5 linked regions of the Ovis aries genome follow. The protein of the gene in region 1 purifies or fractionates together with the protein of each later gene. This does not show direct contact. Links are inferred from orthologs where the notes say so. Each region holds a gene or a part of one and is shown on either strand. Other genes may lie near its edges.

Evidence for each region.
Region 2: the proteins of COPG1 (region 1) and COPB1 fractionate together in Homo sapiens (co-fractionation; 11 studies listed by BioGRID and IntAct, counting the BioPlex papers as one, with this or other methods). This does not show direct contact. The link is inferred for Ovis aries from reciprocal best matches to the Homo sapiens genes COPG1 and COPB1.
Region 3: the proteins of COPG1 (region 1) and NUDCD1 purify together in Homo sapiens (affinity purification with mass spectrometry; 3 studies listed by BioGRID and IntAct, counting the BioPlex papers as one, with this or other methods). This does not show direct contact. The link is inferred for Ovis aries from reciprocal best matches to the Homo sapiens genes COPG1 and NUDCD1.
Region 4: the proteins of COPG1 (region 1) and COPB2 purify together in Homo sapiens (co-immunoprecipitation; 8 studies listed by BioGRID and IntAct, counting the BioPlex papers as one, with this or other methods). This does not show direct contact. The link is inferred for Ovis aries from reciprocal best matches to the Homo sapiens genes COPG1 and COPB2.
Region 5: the proteins of COPG1 (region 1) and ARCN1 purify together in Homo sapiens (affinity purification with mass spectrometry; 6 studies listed by BioGRID and IntAct, counting the BioPlex papers as one, with this or other methods). This does not show direct contact. The link is inferred for Ovis aries from reciprocal best matches to the Homo sapiens genes COPG1 and ARCN1.

The regions. Positions count from the first base shown.
Region 1 is NC_056072.1:59,028,746-59,032,669, forward strand, and holds part of COPG1 (coatomer subunit gamma-1), read left to right. Parts: intron 1-298; coding exon 299-424; intron 425-715; coding exon 716-784; intron 785-2,412; coding exon 2,413-2,555; intron 2,556-2,824; coding exon 2,825-2,996; intron 2,997-3,776; coding exon 3,777-3,874; intron 3,875-3,924. UniProt on the Homo sapiens protein: The coatomer is a cytosolic protein complex that binds to dilysine motifs and reversibly associates with Golgi non-clathrin-coated vesicles, which further mediate biosynthetic protein transport from the ER, via the Golgi up to the trans Golgi network.
Region 2 is NC_056068.1:38,014,371-38,017,644, forward strand, and holds the end of COPB1 (coatomer subunit beta), read left to right. Parts: intron 1-131; coding exon 132-221; intron 222-1,164; coding exon 1,165-1,320; intron 1,321-2,295; coding exon 2,296-2,355; 3' UTR 2,356-2,640; downstream 2,641-3,274. UniProt on the Homo sapiens protein: The coatomer is a cytosolic protein complex that binds to dilysine motifs and reversibly associates with Golgi non-clathrin-coated vesicles, which further mediate biosynthetic protein transport from the ER, via the Golgi up to the trans Golgi network.
Region 3 is NC_056062.1:68,043,281-68,047,204, forward strand, and holds part of NUDCD1 (nudC domain-containing protein 1), read left to right. Parts: intron 1-3,368; coding exon 3,369-3,549; intron 3,550-3,924.
Region 4 is NC_056054.1:250,327,513-250,331,436, forward strand, and holds part of COPB2 (coatomer subunit beta'), read left to right. Parts: intron 1-981; coding exon 982-1,068; intron 1,069-1,271; coding exon 1,272-1,398; intron 1,399-2,321; coding exon 2,322-2,470; intron 2,471-2,930; exon of another isoform or gene 2,931-3,100; intron 3,101-3,924. UniProt on the Homo sapiens protein: The coatomer is a cytosolic protein complex that binds to dilysine motifs and reversibly associates with Golgi non-clathrin-coated vesicles, which further mediate biosynthetic protein transport from the ER, via the Golgi up to the trans Golgi network.
Region 5 is NC_056068.1:28,984,030-28,987,953, reverse strand, and holds part of ARCN1 (coatomer subunit delta), read right to left. Parts: intron 2,168-3,924; coding exon 2,020-2,167; intron 1,723-2,019; coding exon 1,614-1,722; intron 1-1,613. UniProt on the Homo sapiens protein: Component of the coatomer, a cytosolic protein complex that binds to dilysine motifs and reversibly associates with Golgi non-clathrin-coated vesicles, which further mediate biosynthetic protein transport from the ER, via the Golgi up to the trans Golgi network.

The sequences.
Region 1 (3,924 bases):
CCTTCCCGGGCGGCGTGCCCTCCGCTGGCCTCCCGCGGCAACTGCAGGGCGTCACTGTCATCTCAGGAGGCGCCGGACCCCAAGGGCGGGAGCAGCCCAGAGAGCTGAGCCGCTCGCCAGTCCTACGAACCTGCCGAGCACTCCCCGCTGTGTCCAAGCCCCTGTCCCGTGTCCATTCGCTCCTCGCAACAGTGCTGCAGAGGAGGGTGTCCTGCGAAGTCGGGGCTCGGCAGTCTCGCTGGTTTCCTCAGGGTCCTACAGCCTTGACCCCCGGCCCCCGGCTCGCTCTGGCCTCTAGGTCTGACCGTGTCCATCCCGGGTCTGGAGAGGGCACTGCAGCAGTACACGCTGGAGCCGTCGGAGAAGCCCTTCGACCTCAAGTCCGTGCCCCTGGCCACTGCGCCCATGGCAGAGCAGAGGACAGGTCAGGCGCACCTGTGTCCTTCAGAGGCCCTTGGGCCCAGGCCTCCTCTGGAGGGTCTGCCTGGCCTGCGAGGCCACCGCAGCTGCCCAGGGTAGAAGGGGCTGTGCTGGGCGGGGGGAGTCCCCCTGCCTGCCTCTGGCCCTGGAGAGGAAGCCCCCTGCACACAGTCACGCGCACCGTCTCCCGTGCTCCGTGCTTCACAGTGGGAGGTGGGGATCACACTTCCCGAGTAATGGCGCTGTGGTCCATGTGCCCTGGCCATCTCTGAGCTATGCATGCTTGTTCCCGCAGAAAGCACCCCGGTCACCGCCGCCAAGCAGCCCGAGAAGGTGGCTGCCACCCGGCAGGAGATCTTCCAGGGTGAGTGAGGGGGCTCGCAGGCCGCGGCGACTCTTCCCGCAGGAGCTGAGATCGGGGCTCCCCTGCGTGCTGGCTCTGAGTGTGTTCAGACAGCGTGCTCGACCCTTAGTGGAGGTTGGTGCACCCATTTGGGATCTGAGGATTTGGGTGTTCAGAGAGACAGGGTGATTTGCCCCAGTTTGCACAGCACCAGGGGGAGGGCAGAAACAAAGTCCAGCTCCAGCTGGCTTAGAGCCGCTTTGGCCTTGTTCTGAGTGCTGCAGGCCCTGGGCCCAGTCGGTTCGGGACGTCTGGCGCTCCTCAGCGGAGCTGAGGGCACGCCACAGTCCTGTGTCTCGGGCTCCAAATGTGCTCCGGCCACCTTGTCTGGCAGGGTTTGGTGAGGATTCCGTCTGTCCGTCTGCTCCCGCATTTCTCAGGGGAGAGGCTGTGTGTCTAGTTGGCAGACCACGTTGTCCATCAGCTTCCTGCCTTCGAGTCCCAGCAGCAGCCTCCCGTCCAGGTGGCCCCAGCCCGCCGCCCCGACTCGCCTCCTCTGCTGCCCTGCTGCGTGCTCTCGCAGCTTCTGACCTGTTTTCTGTCCGTAACTGCACTGGTGCCGGCCTCCTCCTAGCAGGCTCCCGATGACTGTGGGATTCATTTCAAGTCCGCCTTGTCCTTTCCACTCCCGAACCTGTCTTCCACCAACACGCCATCTCTCAGGTGTGGCTGAACCAGGACCCTGAGCTGGCTGGCGTCGCTCTCCCTGCAGGCTTTCCCTGTGTGTCCTTCCCTCTTGCTGCCGGCAGAGATCAGCACGAACTTGGTGGTTTCACTCAAGGCTGCTCCACCCCATGTCCTGAGGCCTGAGTTCAGCCTCGTTACGGGCGGAAAGAGCAGGATAATGATGATACTGCCTGCCTTCTCCCTCTGTCCCTGAAGTCCTACTAAGTCTAGGGCAGAGGATCATACCGCCTCAGGTAGAGTTCTTTTCCACGTGGAGGTCAGTGTAGCCGGGAAGGTGAGTGACGGATCTTGACTCATGGTCCTCAGGCATCCGTGTGCGTCAGAGTCACGAGGGGAAGCTTGTTCGAGATGCAGGAGGGGGCCTCTGACGGGCGTGTCTGGGGAGGCCTGAGGATCTGCACTGTGGCCATGCCCGCAGCCCCGGGTGTTTCTGGAGCAGTGACTCCTGAGCACAGCGGGGAGAGCAGGGCCAGCTGGGAGCGCCTCGTTCTCCCAGGCGCACCCGGGCCGGAAGCTGGCCTGCACCGGGTGCCCGCCGGCCGCTCTGAGCCGGGCGTTCTGTGACTGAATCTGCCCCCTCTCCTTTGGGGCCGCTTGTCCCGACAGCCACGTGTCTGAGAGCAGTCTGTCCTTCTGCCTGGCTCCGTGGCCAGCAGCGTTCGCTTCCTCTTTGTCTTTCCCTGTCTCCCTCTTCTGAGCACCCTTGCTGAGTTTCTAAGCTTGAGGGGGTCTCTGGATGGATGAGGCCGGGCCGTGGGCCTGACGTCCATCGGTTGGTCTGGCGTCCCATGTGGGACAGCGGGGAGTGCTCGGGTGTCTCGGGGAACCGAGAGAGAGAGGCCTGAGGACTGATCAGAGACCCCGCTGAGCTGCTGGGTGAATGCGCGGCCTATGGGTTTCAGAGCAGCTGGCGGCCGTGCCCGAGTTCCAGGGGCTGGGGCCCCTCTTCAAGTCCGCGCCTGAGCCCGTGGCCCTCACCGAGTCGGAGACGGAGTACGTCGTCCGCTGCACAAAGCACACCTTCGTGGACCACATGGTCTTCCAGGTGAGCGGGGGCCCTCCGGGGGGACCCCCATGCCGAGTGGCTGGAGCCGGGCTCGATGCCGGCTCCAGCTGCTACGTGTCGAGTCCCTGACTCAGGGCCTGTGCGGCTCCCGCGTGTCCACTTGGAGACAGGGGGTCTGGGCAGGGGGCCTGGGTCGAGAGTCAGGGTGGCCCTGGGGTAGGAGGCAGGGCTCCCGACGCCTCCTCTGCAACTCGGGGGGCCCCCCACCCCCCGGCTCAGCGTCTCGGCCCCTCTGCTCCCTGGTCCAGTTTGACTGCACGAACACCCTCAACGATCAGACCCTGGAGAACGTCACGGTGCAGATGGAGCCCACGGAGGCCTACGAGGTGCTGTGTTACGTGCCCGCCCGGAGCCTGCCCTACAACCAGCCCGGGACCTGCTACACGCTGGTGGCCCTGCCCAAGGAGGACCCCACGGCGGGTGAGCTCCCCCGGCCTCCCAGGCGCCCGTGGGTCGGGGTAGGGAGGGCGGCCTGTGCACCAGCTGTTCGTCTCTGGTCAGAGCTTCAGCTCCTCGAGGTCTGTCCAGAGCAGAAGGCCGGCCCGACCTGGGGCTTTGCACACAGCAGCTCGTTTCCTCCTCACACACCCTTGCGGGCAGCACTGCTCTCTCTCTCTGAGAGGGCCACCGAGATGGGGTAAACAGCTTGCCTGAGTTCACCAGGCTGCGAGGCCGAGCCCCGGCCCTCAGGCAGGACTCTGTCTCGGCCGTGAAAGAGCCAGAGAGAGGCACAGACGTGACCGTCTGAGTCCACTCCTCCCAGAGAGGCAGGGGCTTTTCCGGGCCTGGGGTGGTGGGCCTGGGCGGCATGTGGACGTGGCCAGCCTGAAGCGTCTGAGTCCACTCCTCCCAGAGAGGCAGGGGCTTTTCCGGGCCTGGGGTGGTGGGCCTGGGCGGCATGTGGACGTGGCCAGCCTGAAGCGTCTGAGTCCTCTCCTCCCAGAGAGGCAGGGGCTTTTCCGGGCCTGGGGCGGTGGGCCTGGGCGGCATGTGGACGTGGCCAGCCTGAAGCGTCTCTGCCACCCTTGCTTCTCTTTCCTCGTGAGGGCAGCTCCTCAGGCTCCTGCCTCCCCACGCCACTGCCCTTGGTCCAGACCCGCGGGCAGGCTGGCCTGGGCCGCTGGCGCGGTCGAGGCCTGGAGGACAGGCTGTGGCCGCCTGCCCGCAGAGGCCCCCAACGGCGTGCCTTCCCTCCTGCAGTGGCCTGCACGTTCAGCTGCATGATGAAGTTCACTGTCAAGGACTGCGACCCCACCACCGGGGAGGCGGACGATGAGGGCTACGAGGATGAGTATGTGGTAAGCGCCGGCGGGGCCCGCAGGGCTCACGCCAGCCTGCACGCGTGTGC
Region 2 (3,274 bases), on another chromosome or scaffold:
TTAAGTGCTTGGAAGGAGGTTTTAATATGACACATAAGTGATTGTTTTATCAGCCCTAAGATAAGAAATTCACAACTTTCTCTTTGTTAAAAGTATAATCTCTTGACTTTTTTTTCTCTTCCTCTCTACAGGTGACGGTTAACACAAATATAGTTGATTTAAACGACTATTTACAGCACATATTAAAGTCAACCAACATGAAATGCCTCACTCCAGAGAAGGTAAGATTTGCCTGGGTACTTCTTAAATTTGATACAGAGTAATGATAGATTCTTGGCTTTCTTGTATTTCCTGTAGTATATTGTGTTTTTACTTAGCCTGAGAAAAGCAGTGTCATTCTGGGCTAGTTAGAAAAAAACTATCCTGTAGAATGTGTGAATCTGCTTACTGCTTTCTACTGAAATAAGAACAGTATCTGCTTGTCCCTAGAGCAGTGTCCCAACTAAATAGTCAGATTGACTTTTCTTTTCAGTCTTCTCCCTTTCAACTAAAGACTTATTCCAAAGTGTACTAGATTATCAAATGTCCATGACCTCTTCTTTTGATTCTGATTTTGGGTCAGAATATATCTGATCAAGTATGGAATTGTTAATATACTCTGATTTTCTGCTCTGTTTGTATATGTATGTAAAAAAAAAGACTAGAGAGAAAGACCAAAAACTGAAACTGAGAATGTAAGGAAGTTTTCTTTATAAAATGTCTGCTAATGTTGCGGTGCTGATTTAATCAGTGAAAGAATACTGCCAGACCAAATCAAGTAGGCTTTAATTCATGTTAGTCTATTCAACAGATATTGAGTCTGATAAATATTATATGCCGATACTCTGTGAGCTGCTGGATATACAATAATGAAGACAATAAAAATAGTCTCGTTCTTTATAGAGCTTAAGGTCTGGTGTAGGAGGCAGTCACACAACTCTAAACAAAGAATATAGAAATGCAAATTAGGATAAGTGCTATTTCTTTGATCAGGTTTATCGAGATACAGACACAGTAAAGCTCACACATTTTATGTGTATAGTTCTGTGAGTATCAACAAGTTCATACAGTCATGTATGAGTAAATGGTGAATAAGTTGCTTTAAGTGGTGATAATTTACCTGTGCTGTTTAGTCTTGCTTAAGTGTAGTTCTCTAGTATTGAGTTTCTCACAAATTTCTTTCAGGCACTTTCTGGTTACTGTGGCTTTATGGCAGCCAACCTCTATGCTCGTTCCATATTTGGAGAAGATGCACTTGCAAATGTTAGCATTGAGAAGCCAATACAGCAGGGACCAGAGGCCCCTGTTACTGGCCACATAAGAATCCGTGCAAAGAGTCAGGTAACAGATAAATAAATATAATAAATATTTTATATTTATGATATTAATTTTATATTTATAACAATATATTATTTTATATCTATAATATATACTATTTTAATATTTCTAATAATTATATATAATATATATGCATCTAATGCAACGTCACTCTGGCTCAGACAGTAAAGAATCCGCCTGCAATACAGGAGACCTAGGTTCGATCCCTGAGTCAGGAAGATCCCCTACAGGAGGGCATGGCAGCCCACTCCAGTATTCTTGCCTGGAGAATCCCCATGGACAGATGAGCCTGGTGGGCCACAATCCATGGGGTCACAAAGAGTTGGACACAACTGAGCAACTAAGCACACACACATATTTATGATAATCATACTTGGTAAAGAATCCACCTGCAATGCAGGAAACCCTGGTTCGATTCCTGGGTTGAGAAGATCTGCTAGAGAAGGGATAGGCTACCCACTTCAGTATTCTTGGGCTTCCCTGGTGACTCAGCTGGTAAAGAAGCTGCCTGCAGTGCAGGAGACCTGGATTTGATCCCTGGATTGGGAAGATGAGAAGGGAAAGGCTACCCACTCCCATATTCTGGCTGGGAGAATTCCATGGACCATATAGTCCATGGAGTCACAAAGAGTCAGACATGACTGAGCAGCTTTCGCTTTCACTTTTCACTCTTGAAATATAACTCCTTCCTTTAATAAATGGCCCACCTTTTGGGTCTGTCATTCTGGTTTATTTGCAATCAGATTAATTCCTATGGAGTGTTTCTGAATGTATTCTGTAGTTTTTTGAAATCTAGTGACTCTATAAATCTAGCGCTACAAGTACTTAACCAAGTAAAGTTTTGTTGAGTCTGTTTTGTACGTCTTAGTGTCAGTGTTGATGTGGTATCTTTGAATGGGGGCTTGGTAAGATGGAATAACCTACTGATTACATATAGTTTTAATAATTATGTATAAACATCTTCATTCTTTCTTACAGGGAATGGCCTTAAGTCTTGGAGATAAAATCAACTTGTCTCAGAAGAAAAATAGTATATAAGAATAAACAAAAGTCTTTGCAGCTTTACAGTTAAAATTTAGGTATGGGCTTACTGGACTCCAACATCTTTTGTACTCTTTTTGTGCTTTGTGTTATATAGAATCTGAGTTCATGCTGAATGCATTCCAGCCAATAATTTATAGCCTTTCCCTTAAATCAAGATTGATTTTAAAATTATAGTTTGTCTTTTGTCTTAACAGTTTTGAATGCTGTCCTCAAAGTATATAATGTTTCTCACATGTATCAAGACCATTTTCACAGTACAATAAACAGATCTATTCCTAAGTCTTTTGTTGTTTTATGAATAAATGTGTAATTACATAATTTTAGGTAACGATGAATTTCTTTTAGTTGCATTATAGATCTCTATTATAAATTTAAATTGCTGTTTGAGTTGTGAATATATGTGATATGCAATGAGATAGACTTTGATTTACTTGATTAATGGTTACTGATTTAACATTCTGACATCATTGTATCCAAAAATGCCTCATCATGTTCTAAAGGGCTTTTCTTTGAAATTTAGGTCCTAGAAGAAAGTATCAAATACCTTGAGAAAACAGATCCATGTTCATTTTATCTTTTAATTAATTTTATTGGCGTATAATTGATTTACAATGTTGTGTTAGTTTCTGCTGTACAACAAAGTGAATCAGCTGTATGTGTACATATATCCCCTTTTTCTTAAGATTTCCTTCCCATGTAAGTCACCACAGAGCATTGAATAGTTTCTTGTGCTATACAGTAGGTACTCGTTAGTTGTCTATTTATACATAGTAGTCTATATATATATATTCTAATCTCTCCATACTCCCACTCCCCTCTTCCCCCTTGGTATCCATATGTTTGTTCTTTACATCTGTATGTCTATTTCTGCTTTGCAAATAAGTTCATCTGTAAAAATTTTTCTAGACTCCAC
Region 3 (3,924 bases), on another chromosome or scaffold:
TCCTGCACTACCTAATTGCAGTGTGTTCAAAAAGTTAAACACAAAACACGATGAAATACCAGAACAACAGCCTGTTTATAGGAGGCCTTTGCAGTCAGTCACAGTTTTAAATATTCATTGGACATTGTGACATATTCTGTTTCTGCCTCCAATAATTTTTTCTTTTCTTTTTTGACTGAGGATATATGGTATATAGCACCCAGCTATCTGAAACAGTTGAAAAGAATTTGGAGAATGATGGACAGGAGCGATATGAATGAGAATGTATCTGTTATCAAGCTATGGGGATTCTGTTGGTGTAAGAAACACACTGACCCTCTTCACCTTCGGATTAAGAATAATACCACGTAGTCCATCAGAAGAAAATTCATATGGGTTTATAATTCATTTGGTTTCTGCTATGTATATCTCCTTAGTCCATATAAGTCCTTCAATAAGATTTTTAAAATAAATTAAAAATTGAATTTACTTCATATGTTCTTCAGTATATATACTGCCATAATGAAGTCAGTCCTCTCTGGGGAGGTGGGGACAGTGGGGAAATTATGGGACCAGGGGGTTAACTGAAGTGGAAGGGATACTGTGGGATAGTGGTCACTTTGAGAGAAATATATGAGTTTTAGGACTTTGGGGGAATTGGTGTAAGAGAGAAGGCTAAAGGTGGAAGTGATGGGGGCATGGTAGGGCATAAGGGGGCCCAGCAAGCGTGGTGGTGATGTCTGAAATGTAGAAGGAGAAGTGAAAGAAGGCAGGGCATGTGTGGCCTCTAACATGATGGGAGTGCTGTGTATCAACAGCTTCACAATTGATTTGCTAGGCTTGTTCAGGGGACTGGAAACGTCAACCTAAGAGTTTCTAAAAGTCCTGACATGGTCTCCTCTGGCCTTACATGAGCGAGAAAGAGGGGGAGGAAACAGGAATCTGGCTACTTGGACTTGGCAAAACTTACCATTTTTTCTTCCTACCCTTTTATTTATTCTTGTCCCCCAAACAGAAGCAAAACCCACTTAACCAAAAATGTGTCTATCTTCTCTATTTTGGGTATTTGAGGGAGGGCTCTCCCCTTACCTATGGAAGAATTTAGAATGGATTCCAAAGGTCTACTGTTTGAATAATTTTGGTAGAGTTGCTCAAACACAAAGGGAAACTAATGACATTTAAGCACATTTTTCTTTTTATTGAACTCTAGTTACAATTTGCAGTGTTTTGTTAGATTTGGTGTACAGCAAAGTGATTGAGCAAAGTGATTGAGTGATATATGTGTATATATATATACATATATATATGTATGTATGTATGTATGTATATTCTTTTCCATTGTAGTTTATTTCAAAGTATTGAATATAGGTCCCTATGTTATACAGTGGGAACTTTTTGTTTACCTATTTTATATATGGTAGTTTGTATATGATAATCCCAAATTCCTAATTTATCCCTCTTCCCCTTTGGTAACTATAAGTTTGTTTTCTGAGTGTTTTCCTGTTTTGTAAATCAGTTAATTTGTATCATGTTTTAGATAAGTGATATTGTGTGATATTCGTCTTTCTCTGTCTGACTTATTTCACTTAAGTTGGATAACCTTTGGGTCCATCCGTGTTGCTGCAGATGGCATTATTTATTCTTTTTATGGCTGAATAGTATTCCATTGTATGTATACCACATCCTTATCCATTCATCTGTTGATAGACATTTAGATTACTTCCATGTCTTGGCTATTTTAAGTACTCCTGCTGTGAGCATTAGGGTAATGCAACCTTTTTTTTAATAAGGCTTTCAGGTAGCAGCCCAGGTGATTCCAGATACAGGTTTAAAAAGAAAAAAAGAGCTAATTCTTGTGTTTCAGTTAGATTTGTATTCAAACTATTTATCTATTTATTTTTTCACTTATTTGAAAAACTTGTTTCGAAATCAGTCTTAAAACCTTTCCTGATCGATATTTAACAAAGATACAGTAGTCTTTTAGATTATGTGTTTTAAGAAGAATTTGATAAGATTTTGTACATCTTTCCATGATGCTTTGATTTGCTTTTTTTTTTTTCCTTAGAAGAAATTTCAATATTTAACAGTTAGTGGAATTATCTTTTTAGATGACATGAGATCTTTTGTTTTAGAACAGTAAGAAAGTTTTCATGATTTGTTCTCCAGTTCCTTTGACTCTTCAGTTCAGTTTAGTTGCTCAGTCATGTCCGACCCTTTGCGACCCCATGAATCGCAGCACGCCAGGCCTCCCTGTCTATCACCAACTCCCAGAGTTGACTCAGACTCACATCAATCGATTCGGTGATGCCATCCAGCCATCTCATCCTCTGTCGTCCCCTTCTCCTCTTGCCCCCAATCCCTCCCAGCATCAGAGTCATTTCCAATGAGTCAACTCTTCGCATGAGGTGGCCAAAGTACTGGAGTTTCAGCTTTAGCATCATTCCCTCCAAAGAACAGCCAGGGCTGATCTCCTTCAGAATGGACTGGTTGGATCTCCTTGCAGTCCATGGGACTCTCAACAGTCTTCTCCAACACCACAGTTCAAAAGCATTAATTCTTTGGCGCTCAGCCTTCTTCATAGTCCAACTCTCACATCCATACATGACCACTGGAAAAACCATAGCCTTGACTAGACGGACCTTTGTTGGCAAAGTAATATCTCTGCTCTTGAATATGCTATCTAGGTTGGTCATAACTTTTCTTCCAAGGAGTAAGCGTCTTTTAATTTCATGGCTGCAGTCACCATCTGCAGTGATTTTGGAGCCCAAAAAAATAAAGTCTGACACTGTACCTTTGTAAGTTTCCAGAAAACAAACAACACAAAGCAAACAAAAACAATAGGAAAGAAAGATATACGCACATATATACAAACAGTATTCAGAAACTAAGAAGAAGGCAGAAATAAATTAGAGATATGATTAATATATTAACATATAATATAAATGACTATTATAAATGGATGGATATAATATTATACAATATATTAATATATCTCAATAAATTAGATATGAGACAGGGGAAGAGATGCAGTAAGGGAATATTGACCTCATTTCCTCTGTACGGAGCACTCTTTTTCACTTGGCAATTCTTTTCTAGAGGATTGCTTTTAATTCCCTTTCTCTTGTAGATGCCATTTGGAGGCCCTTTTGTTTTCTGTGCTTACTGATCAGTTTTCTCTGTTAAACAAATAGATGTTTTCTAAAAGTTATTTCTTTAAGCTGTATTTTAAACTTATAAGCTTTATTTCAGGGCTTTTCTGTTCTTGTGTCCTTGCAGTAAACAGTATCCAAATTACTTGTTGGATTGTCAGAATTCTGTGTATTTCCTCTGTGCTCTATGCATTCATGTAATACGTTTTTGTGAATGCCATCTTTTTTTCTTTTTTGTAGATTGTATTTAATGAAGAGCTTGGGAGTCCTTTTATCATAATTCACAGTATCTCATTGCTGAAAGCTGAAGAACATGCAATAGCTACTCTCCTCCTTCGAATAGAGAAAGAGGAATTGGCTATGAAAGGAAGTGGTTTCTATGTTTCCTTGGAGTGGGTCACTATTAGTAAGAAATGTGAAGGTAAAACAACAAAATTCTGATCTCTCTGCAGTGGTTGCCATAATTCAGTAGGTTTTGAAATGCAAAGCTGTTCCTGTAAATGCTGTTTGCTTTTTCTTAAGCATTGTGTTGTGATTCTAGTACCTGCCACCCAATGGAATGAATATTTATAGGTAGTTTCTCCTTAGGTATGGATTATTTAAAAAAAAAAAAATTATGTGCTTCCACAGTTGAATACACCTTTTTTGTAAAAGGAGACACTACTACATATTTTGGAGAATTTAAAGTGTATGTTTTTAATATATACAAAATATATGTTAATATGTAACATTAAACACAAGATTTGTTCTTCAAAATATTTAGTGTAATTTGTTCTTTTTCCCGGTGTTGTGGTTT
Region 4 (3,924 bases), on another chromosome or scaffold:
CAACAACTAGAGAAGAGCCCCCACTCTCCACAACTAGAGAAAAACCTGTGCAGCAGTGAAGACCCAGAACAGCCAAAAAATAAATTACATATAAAAAGAATGAAATAATTTTTTTAAAGGGATAGTTTGACTTTCAGAATTTTAAAGAACAAGGTATCAAAGTGGGAGGACAACGAAATGTATTCATTGCTGTTCTTTCTGGCACGGTCTTCTAGTTTTCCACCTTTATCCTGTGTGTATAATTCTTTTCTGAGCAGCTTTCTATCCTGTGTATATAACTATTCTGAGCAGCTTTAAAGGACATCTTAATCACTGTGAAGAATTAGGAATCACTTAGTTCATCACTAAAAAGAAACAGTTTCTGTATGGAAGTATCTTGCTGAAGTATACAAAAGAATTGTATATTGTTTATAAGTTTATTTTATGAGTTTATGGGTTTAATTTTTAAAAGAAGAAAACTAAGAGCTAATTCATTCAATAAATACTTATTACATGTGGGTGGTTTTTCATCCACTGTTCTTAGGCTCTAGGTATACAGTGGTGAATAAGATTCCCACCCTTGGGGGCTTAGCAGGAAAGACTGACAGTAAGCATATAATTACGAAAGTGCTATGTTGTGAAAGTGGAGTATAAGGTTCTTTGGGTGGGTTTTCAGGTGGAGGGAATGGGAGCAAAGGTAAGGCTGAGAGTAGCTGAGGATGGGGCTAGAGAAGTAGGGAAGGACTGGAGCACAGAGGATGGGGAACTTCATCTTGTGGATATTTGCTTTCCTTTTTTCTTTTATAAGTATTTTAGGTTTGAATCTGTTAAAGAAAAGATGATTGGTCAATGTTTCCCATTCAACTGCTTTTATATTTTAGCTAGAGAATATTTTTAAGATTAGAAGTGATCTAAATAATTGGATGTTTTAAATATAACAGAATAGATTTTTCAGTTGTTTTTTCATAACTCAAAGTGGTATGTTCTTGTTACATTTTTAAGACACTGGTGAAAACATTTGAAGTATGTGATCTTCCTGTCCGAGCTGCTAAGTTTGTTGCAAGGAAGAATTGGGTTGTAACAGGAGCGGTAAGTAAGCATGTGAATTTCTAATCCCATTTATGAATTGGTCAGTGATTACCTAAATGAGTTGCAGAATTTTGATTCTTGCTTTCTTTTGTTAATGAGTGCAGTGTTTTGAACCCTGGACTTTATACCTTGAGCCTGTAGTATATTTTTTTGTGCAATTTACTTCATAAGAGTAATGATGGTTTTTAAATTTTCATTTCTAGGATGACATGCAGATTAGAGTATTCAATTACAACACTCTGGAGAGAGTTCATATGTTTGAGGCACATTCAGACTACATTCGCTGTATTGCTGTTCATCCAACCCAGCCTTTCATTCTAACCAGCAGTGGTAAGAGATGACCCCTTTTGGTCATGTAGGTCTCTTTGAGTAATTCATTTTTATTTAGTGAGACGTGCAATTCATTTACTGCTGTTACAAGTAGAGTTCTGATTCCAAGCAGCCTTTAAACTATTTAAATCCATTAACGTTCTATCAGTGCTGCTTGCTTTTGTATTTTAATGACTATCAGCTCTACTTAGGATTTGTGTAGCAGTTGCTCCAATTCCTGTCAGGGAATACCTGAAGGTCTAGATGCTGGAACATCTGCTGAACAGAAAGCTAATTTATGTGTTGAGTGAGTGAATTTTTGGCAGATTGCCATATACTCTAGTCAGTTTTATCTTTATATTCAGACTAGTTTGCACCTTGGTATTATGTGTAAAGCAGTGGAGCTTTTTGGAAGGCAGTTAAAACAGGTTGCACTGAATTGGTAATAGCTCTTTGAAACATTTTTAAGTTAGAAATTGAGAAGTAATTCAGAACTTTTTTTAACCAATTGAAGCCTGGCGTGCTGCAGTCCATGGGGTGGAAAAGAGTCAGACATGACTAAGCAACTGAACTGATTAAAAGAGAAATGCTTGTTTCTGAAATAGTCATTGTCATCATTATTCAGTCATACTTAGACTCTAATTAAACTTGTGTTATTCTTTTATCATTCTGTAAAACCCATCGAGTCTGTTTTAAATTTCTTCCATGAAATTTGTATATTTGCTATTAGTAATGTCTTTTATCTCCATTCTTCAGAAAGTTAAAATTATTCTTAGAATGAGCATTTTGAAAAATCTGTTCAATTCTGATTCTGTGTCTGTAAGTCATGGAATATATGATTTGTGTTAGATTTTCTTCCTTAAAAAGGCACAGAGATTCTGCACCTTAGTTCTGAATGAAAGAAATAGATATTGCAACTAAGTGGAGACTTTCTTTTGATCTAGATGACATGCTTATTAAACTCTGGGACTGGGATAAAAAATGGTCTTGCTCACAAGTGTTTGAAGGACACACCCATTATGTAATGCAGATTGTGATCAACCCTAAAGATAACAACCAGTTTGCCAGTGCTTCTTTGGACAGGACAATCAAGGTAAGGTGCCCACTGTTTGTGTCAGTTATGCTTGTTGGTGAGATATAATTGTGTTAGGTATTTTACTGCTGGCTTCCTATCTGAGAAGTTTCTCTCAAAAGCTCATTTTGAAAAAAAAAAAAAAAAGCTCATTTTGAAGCAATATAGGACTTCTTATTTTGATTCAGAAGGGCATATTCTGTTTAGAAAAATGGTGTGGCAACTCAGTGCTCTTAATGGAGGGGTGTTTCTCCATGTGGAAGCAATATATAGTAAGAGTTTTAAACCTCTGCAAACCCAGAATAAGAAAATGCCTGTGTCTTCTCTAGGTCACTGTTTTCCTCTTTGTTAGTGTATTTGCTGTTGCCTTCTGCAGATTATTAATCTATTTCATTTACCTCCATTCTGTTTTTCTTACTCCATTTCTCCATACCACTGCCAGTTATCTTTCTAAAACGTGGGTTCCATCTTGTCAGTTCCCAATCTAAGGGTAAAGTCCAGATGCCTTGGTATGGAATATAAGGGTTTGCAAGACCAACCTTAGCTAATGTTACGAGACATCTCCTGTAAACCTGGTCTCCTCACCATTTTCTCGAGAAGCCGTGAATGTTCACAGAACCTTACCTCATTCAGCTGGGCCCAATGCCTACAGTATCCTTTATTCTCCCTTATTGATTTCTTTTCCTCTGGAGAATTACTCATCTTTCAAGGCTTAGCAGTTATTTACTCTGAGAAGCTCTCTTCAGCCATCCGTTTCACCCCTAGACAGAGCCATTCTCATCCCATTCCTTCCATTTTTGGGGGTCTCTATTATGGCCTTCCTGTTGAATAATAATGGAAAATCTTTATTCCCGACATGTTGATGTTTGGGGCAGGAACCGTATGTTACCCTCCTCCCACAAGCAGACACACATTAGCAAGCAGCACAGTGCCCTGTCTATATTAGATGCTTAATACATGTTGCAATGAGTGAAAATATATTCCTTTTCCCACTGTAGTACTTAAAATATATCTATATGCATAGATTTAACTTTGGTTACATGAATAGGCTTACATCTATATAACATTTTTATTAGTTTTCCTTTGACTTATATAAAATGTTATCTTCTGTTTGTCTGACAACTTACTATTAAATGGTACATGTTGACTATCTTAGGGCTTTGATTTACTTTATTATTTTTTTTCTTTTACTCAATTATCCTTGTTTTTGACATAATGTTGAAAACTTTGAAATTAGTTTAGAAGTTTCTTCACTAAATTAGATATAGCTTGAGGACAAAATTGTCCTTTGGCTCTAGTAAAGTTTGTTTACATATTTTTATACTCCCCACAGGGCCTCCCATGTAGTAGTCATACAAAATAAATATTTGTAAAGATAAAGCTCAATAGCTGCTGCTGTTAAGTCACTTCAGTCGTGTCCAACTCTGTGCGACCCCACAGACGGCAGCCCTCCAGGCTCCCCCGTCCCTGGGATT
Region 5 (3,924 bases), on another chromosome or scaffold:
ACCAGTGACATCCAATGTTTGCATTAGGGCTTGGTAAATAAGGGAGACCAGAAAAACTTTGATAAAGGGTGAGATAACACAATTAACTCTTTTATGGTCCCAGCTGTATATATGTTTCTTCCCTTTCCCCTTGTTCCCATTCTGGTTCTGAGCTCTAATTTGATCAGTTCTAGACAAAAGGGTAAAGTGCTGTCCAAGGGTCTCTTCTGGAGACTGTTGCAAAATTGAACTAAGACACAGGAAACCACCATAACCACAATTATAGGGTAGATGGAGAGGCCTAAAACTTGTGGCATCCTAAAAATAGTCTAGCAAAATAAATCTTGACAAAATAAAACCCACACCTGTCACCAACGCCCAAGTCTCAGGATGGTTCAAGGCAGACATCTATTGTTCTGAAGTAACAACCAAGCTGTGAAGAATTAAGATGATTAGCCCATTAAAGGGGACACTGGTAATAAATCATGTTTTAAAAAATGGAAATAAGAGTGACTAAAACCAGACCTGGCCATGTCAGGACCTGAATCAAACTATAAATTAATTTAATTTTAATTCAAATTAATTTAAAATTAATTTGAATAAACCTGCATATTAAATTAAAACTGTTTTCTCTGTAATAATAACTGAGCAATTTAATAGTAAAAACACACTAAGAATATACTTACTAGGTATTCATTATTAAGCCCTGTATTTAATCATGGGGATGCTGAGAGGCAAAGGAGAGGAGCAGGGATTCAATGGTGAAATAATAGTAGTTCAGTCACTAGAAATGCTAGTGAGGAGATAAAAGTTTTCTAGGTGATCCTAGAAAGTATGCCATTTAAGCATACATCAAAACTTACTGGAACTAAACTTCTGGGGGTGATGGATTTTTGTTATTTTAATTGTGATCAGGTTTCACAGGTGCATATAGGTCAAAACTTATCCAATTGTACAATTTAAACATACGTAGTTTATTGCATGTCAACCATACCTCAATGAAGTTGTCAGAAAATTTCCTGAAACTAATGCAAATATCTTGTTTCACCAAGAATAGCACCCTGAAATCACTCTCATCTTTAGCTGGTAACTTAGCAAAGACCGTGAAAAAAGAATTCAGTCTGACAGACTCAATTTCTTATTTAAGAGTTGCAAAACAGAACAGAGAACTGGCTCCTCCTTCTGGAAACCTTCATTACTACAGGAACAAACTGAAGACCAACATCTGAAAACACAGCTTTAGAACTACAACCAGCTTTGTATGTTTGGCTTTAAAGTCAGTAATATGCACTCCTTCAAAAGTATACAGTTGGATACATTTTGACATTACACTGTAATGTAAGCACATTACAATCAAGTCACAGAATATCTCCATCATCTCCAAAGCTTCCTTGTGCTCCTCTGCAGTCAAATGCCTGATTTCTGTCCCAAGGGTATTACCTTTTCAGAATGTCTTATACATGGAATCATACAGTTAGTATGCAGTCTTTTGCACCAGGCTTCTTTCACAACTGGCCTTTGTATCTTATATATCTTAGCATGGACAGTCAGCTAAGTGTTGCCTCCAAAACTGAGTTCTAAAAGACTAGTTCTATAAGCTCACTATAGAAAAAGTGATTATATGGGGAACTTACGGGAGTGGAATGGTGATAATCACATCATTCAGTTCTAAATTATCTTCTTGTAGCTCATATTCTATGTTGACATCACAACCATTTCCACTTTCTGAGGGCCAGCAATTAACTGAAGACAAAAGCAAAGCAAGTATACTAGAACATTAGGAAAAGAATGAAGCAAAGTTAAGACTGCAAATCAAAACCGATACCAGCAAGCCTTAAAACATTCTAATGTAAACTACTAGAAACAATGGTTTCAAAATTAAAGATATTAAAAATTAAATCTAATCATTAAAATACAGTCCATTTTAAAAGGTCACTTTGCCAAAAAGAATTATGGCAATAAGGATAAGAGTGCACAAGTCAGGGCTATTTCTAATTTTCAGTGCAGACTAGCTTAGTAGGACTGGCCAGAGGCACCTACTTGTCAGTGGAATAAAAGATTCCTCTGTGGTCTGTAGTCTCCACTTTAGCACCCCTACATCACTGTTGACTGGAAATGACTTCTCTGGATTCTTCAAACCAATTAGAGATTCTGCAGTGAAAAGTTTTTTATCCACATTTGGATGTGTCTGAAATGAGAAAGGAAAGAAAATTTCTGAGGTTCAGACATGACAAGACAGGAAATAAATTCCTTTTGGTCTTACATGGCCCATAATCTAAACATCTAAAATAGGGTGCGTAAAAAAATTTCAATTATTTTTTATTTTGAAGAAAGATTTCCCTTCTTCAAAGACTGTGTTTTAAAAAATGTTGATTGCACTGGGTCTTCATTGTGGTGAGCAGGCTTAGCAACCCCACATCATATGGGATCTTAGTTCCCCCACCAGGGATTGAACCCACAAACCCTGCATTGGAAGGTGGAATCTTAACTACTGAACCACCAGGGAGGTCCCTGAAAGACTTTTAAAGGTTTAAGACATTTTAAAAATAGCAATAATGTAATTTTTACTCTAAACCATTTTGTTTGTAAGTAACAAGTTAGTAATTTTGTAACTAAAAAAGTTAAAAGACCATCAGCCAAGTCCTTTACAAAAATACTTTAGGGGGAGCAGCCTCAAGGTGAGGCCAAGCTGGCCAAATAGAAGAGAAGGGTCAAAGTTTGATCCGCCATCTTTGTCACACAGTAGTCCTCATCTTACACTAACGAAGGAGAGGGAAAAGCTCTGTGCAAAGTTTACTTGCAATTTTGTGTAGAGAGCTAAAGTTGTTCAAACTCAGGCCAAATAAGATGGACCAATCTTTTTTAAAGAAGTCATATTAGGGGAAAAAAGGAAAAAGAAGAAACTTTTGCATTGATGACTATATACACTTTACGAGCCAGCAATGCTACTGTCAAATAATATAAGCACTACTTCCAAAAGACAATTGTGTGTTGGTTATGCTTTTCAACTGTGGTGTTGGAAAAGACTCTTGAGAGTCCCTTGAACTGCAAGAAGATCCAACCAGTCATTCCTAAAGGAAATTAGTCCTGAATATTCATTGGAAGGACTGATGCTGAAACTCCAATACTTTGGCCACCTGATGCGAAGAAGTGATTCATTTGAAAAGACCCTGATGCTGGGAAAGACTGAAGGCAGGAGGAGAAGGGGATGACAGAGGGTGAGATGGTTGGATGGCATCATTGACTTTATGGACATGAGTTTGGGCAAGTTCAGGGAGTTGGTGATGAACAGGGAAGCCTGGCATGCTGCAGTCCATGGAGTCCCAAAGAATTGAACATGACTGAGCTGAACTGAACTGAACTATGAGGCAGGGAAAAAAGTAGACAAAATCATCTTCTTCTCTGAAAAGGCCTGGTTCTTGTGACAAGAGATGTAAGATCAACTATCTAAATAAAATATAACAATCTTCCTTGGTGGTCCAGTGGTTAAGACTCCCCACTTCTAATGAAGAGTAGGTGGGTTTGATACCTGGTCAGGGAACTAAGATCCCATACTTCACACAGCACAACCAAAAATTTTTAAAAATAAAATAAGACAGGACTTCCTGTGGCTCAATGGTAAAGAATCCACCTGCCAATGCAGGTGACCAATCCCTGATTCGGGAAGATCCCACATGCCACGAAGCAACTAAGCCTGTGAGCTACAACTATTGAGCCTGTGCACCAAAACTATTGAGCCTATTTCCTAGAGCCTGGAAGCTTCAACCACTGAAGCCCATGGACCTAGAGCATGTACTCTGAAACAAAAGAAGCCACTGCAATGAGAAACCTGGACACCACAGCTAGAGAGCAGCCTATGCAGCAACAAAGACTCACCCAAACCATCAATAAATGAAATTTTCGAAAATAAGTAAATAAAATGTACCAAAAACAACCGTTATAAAG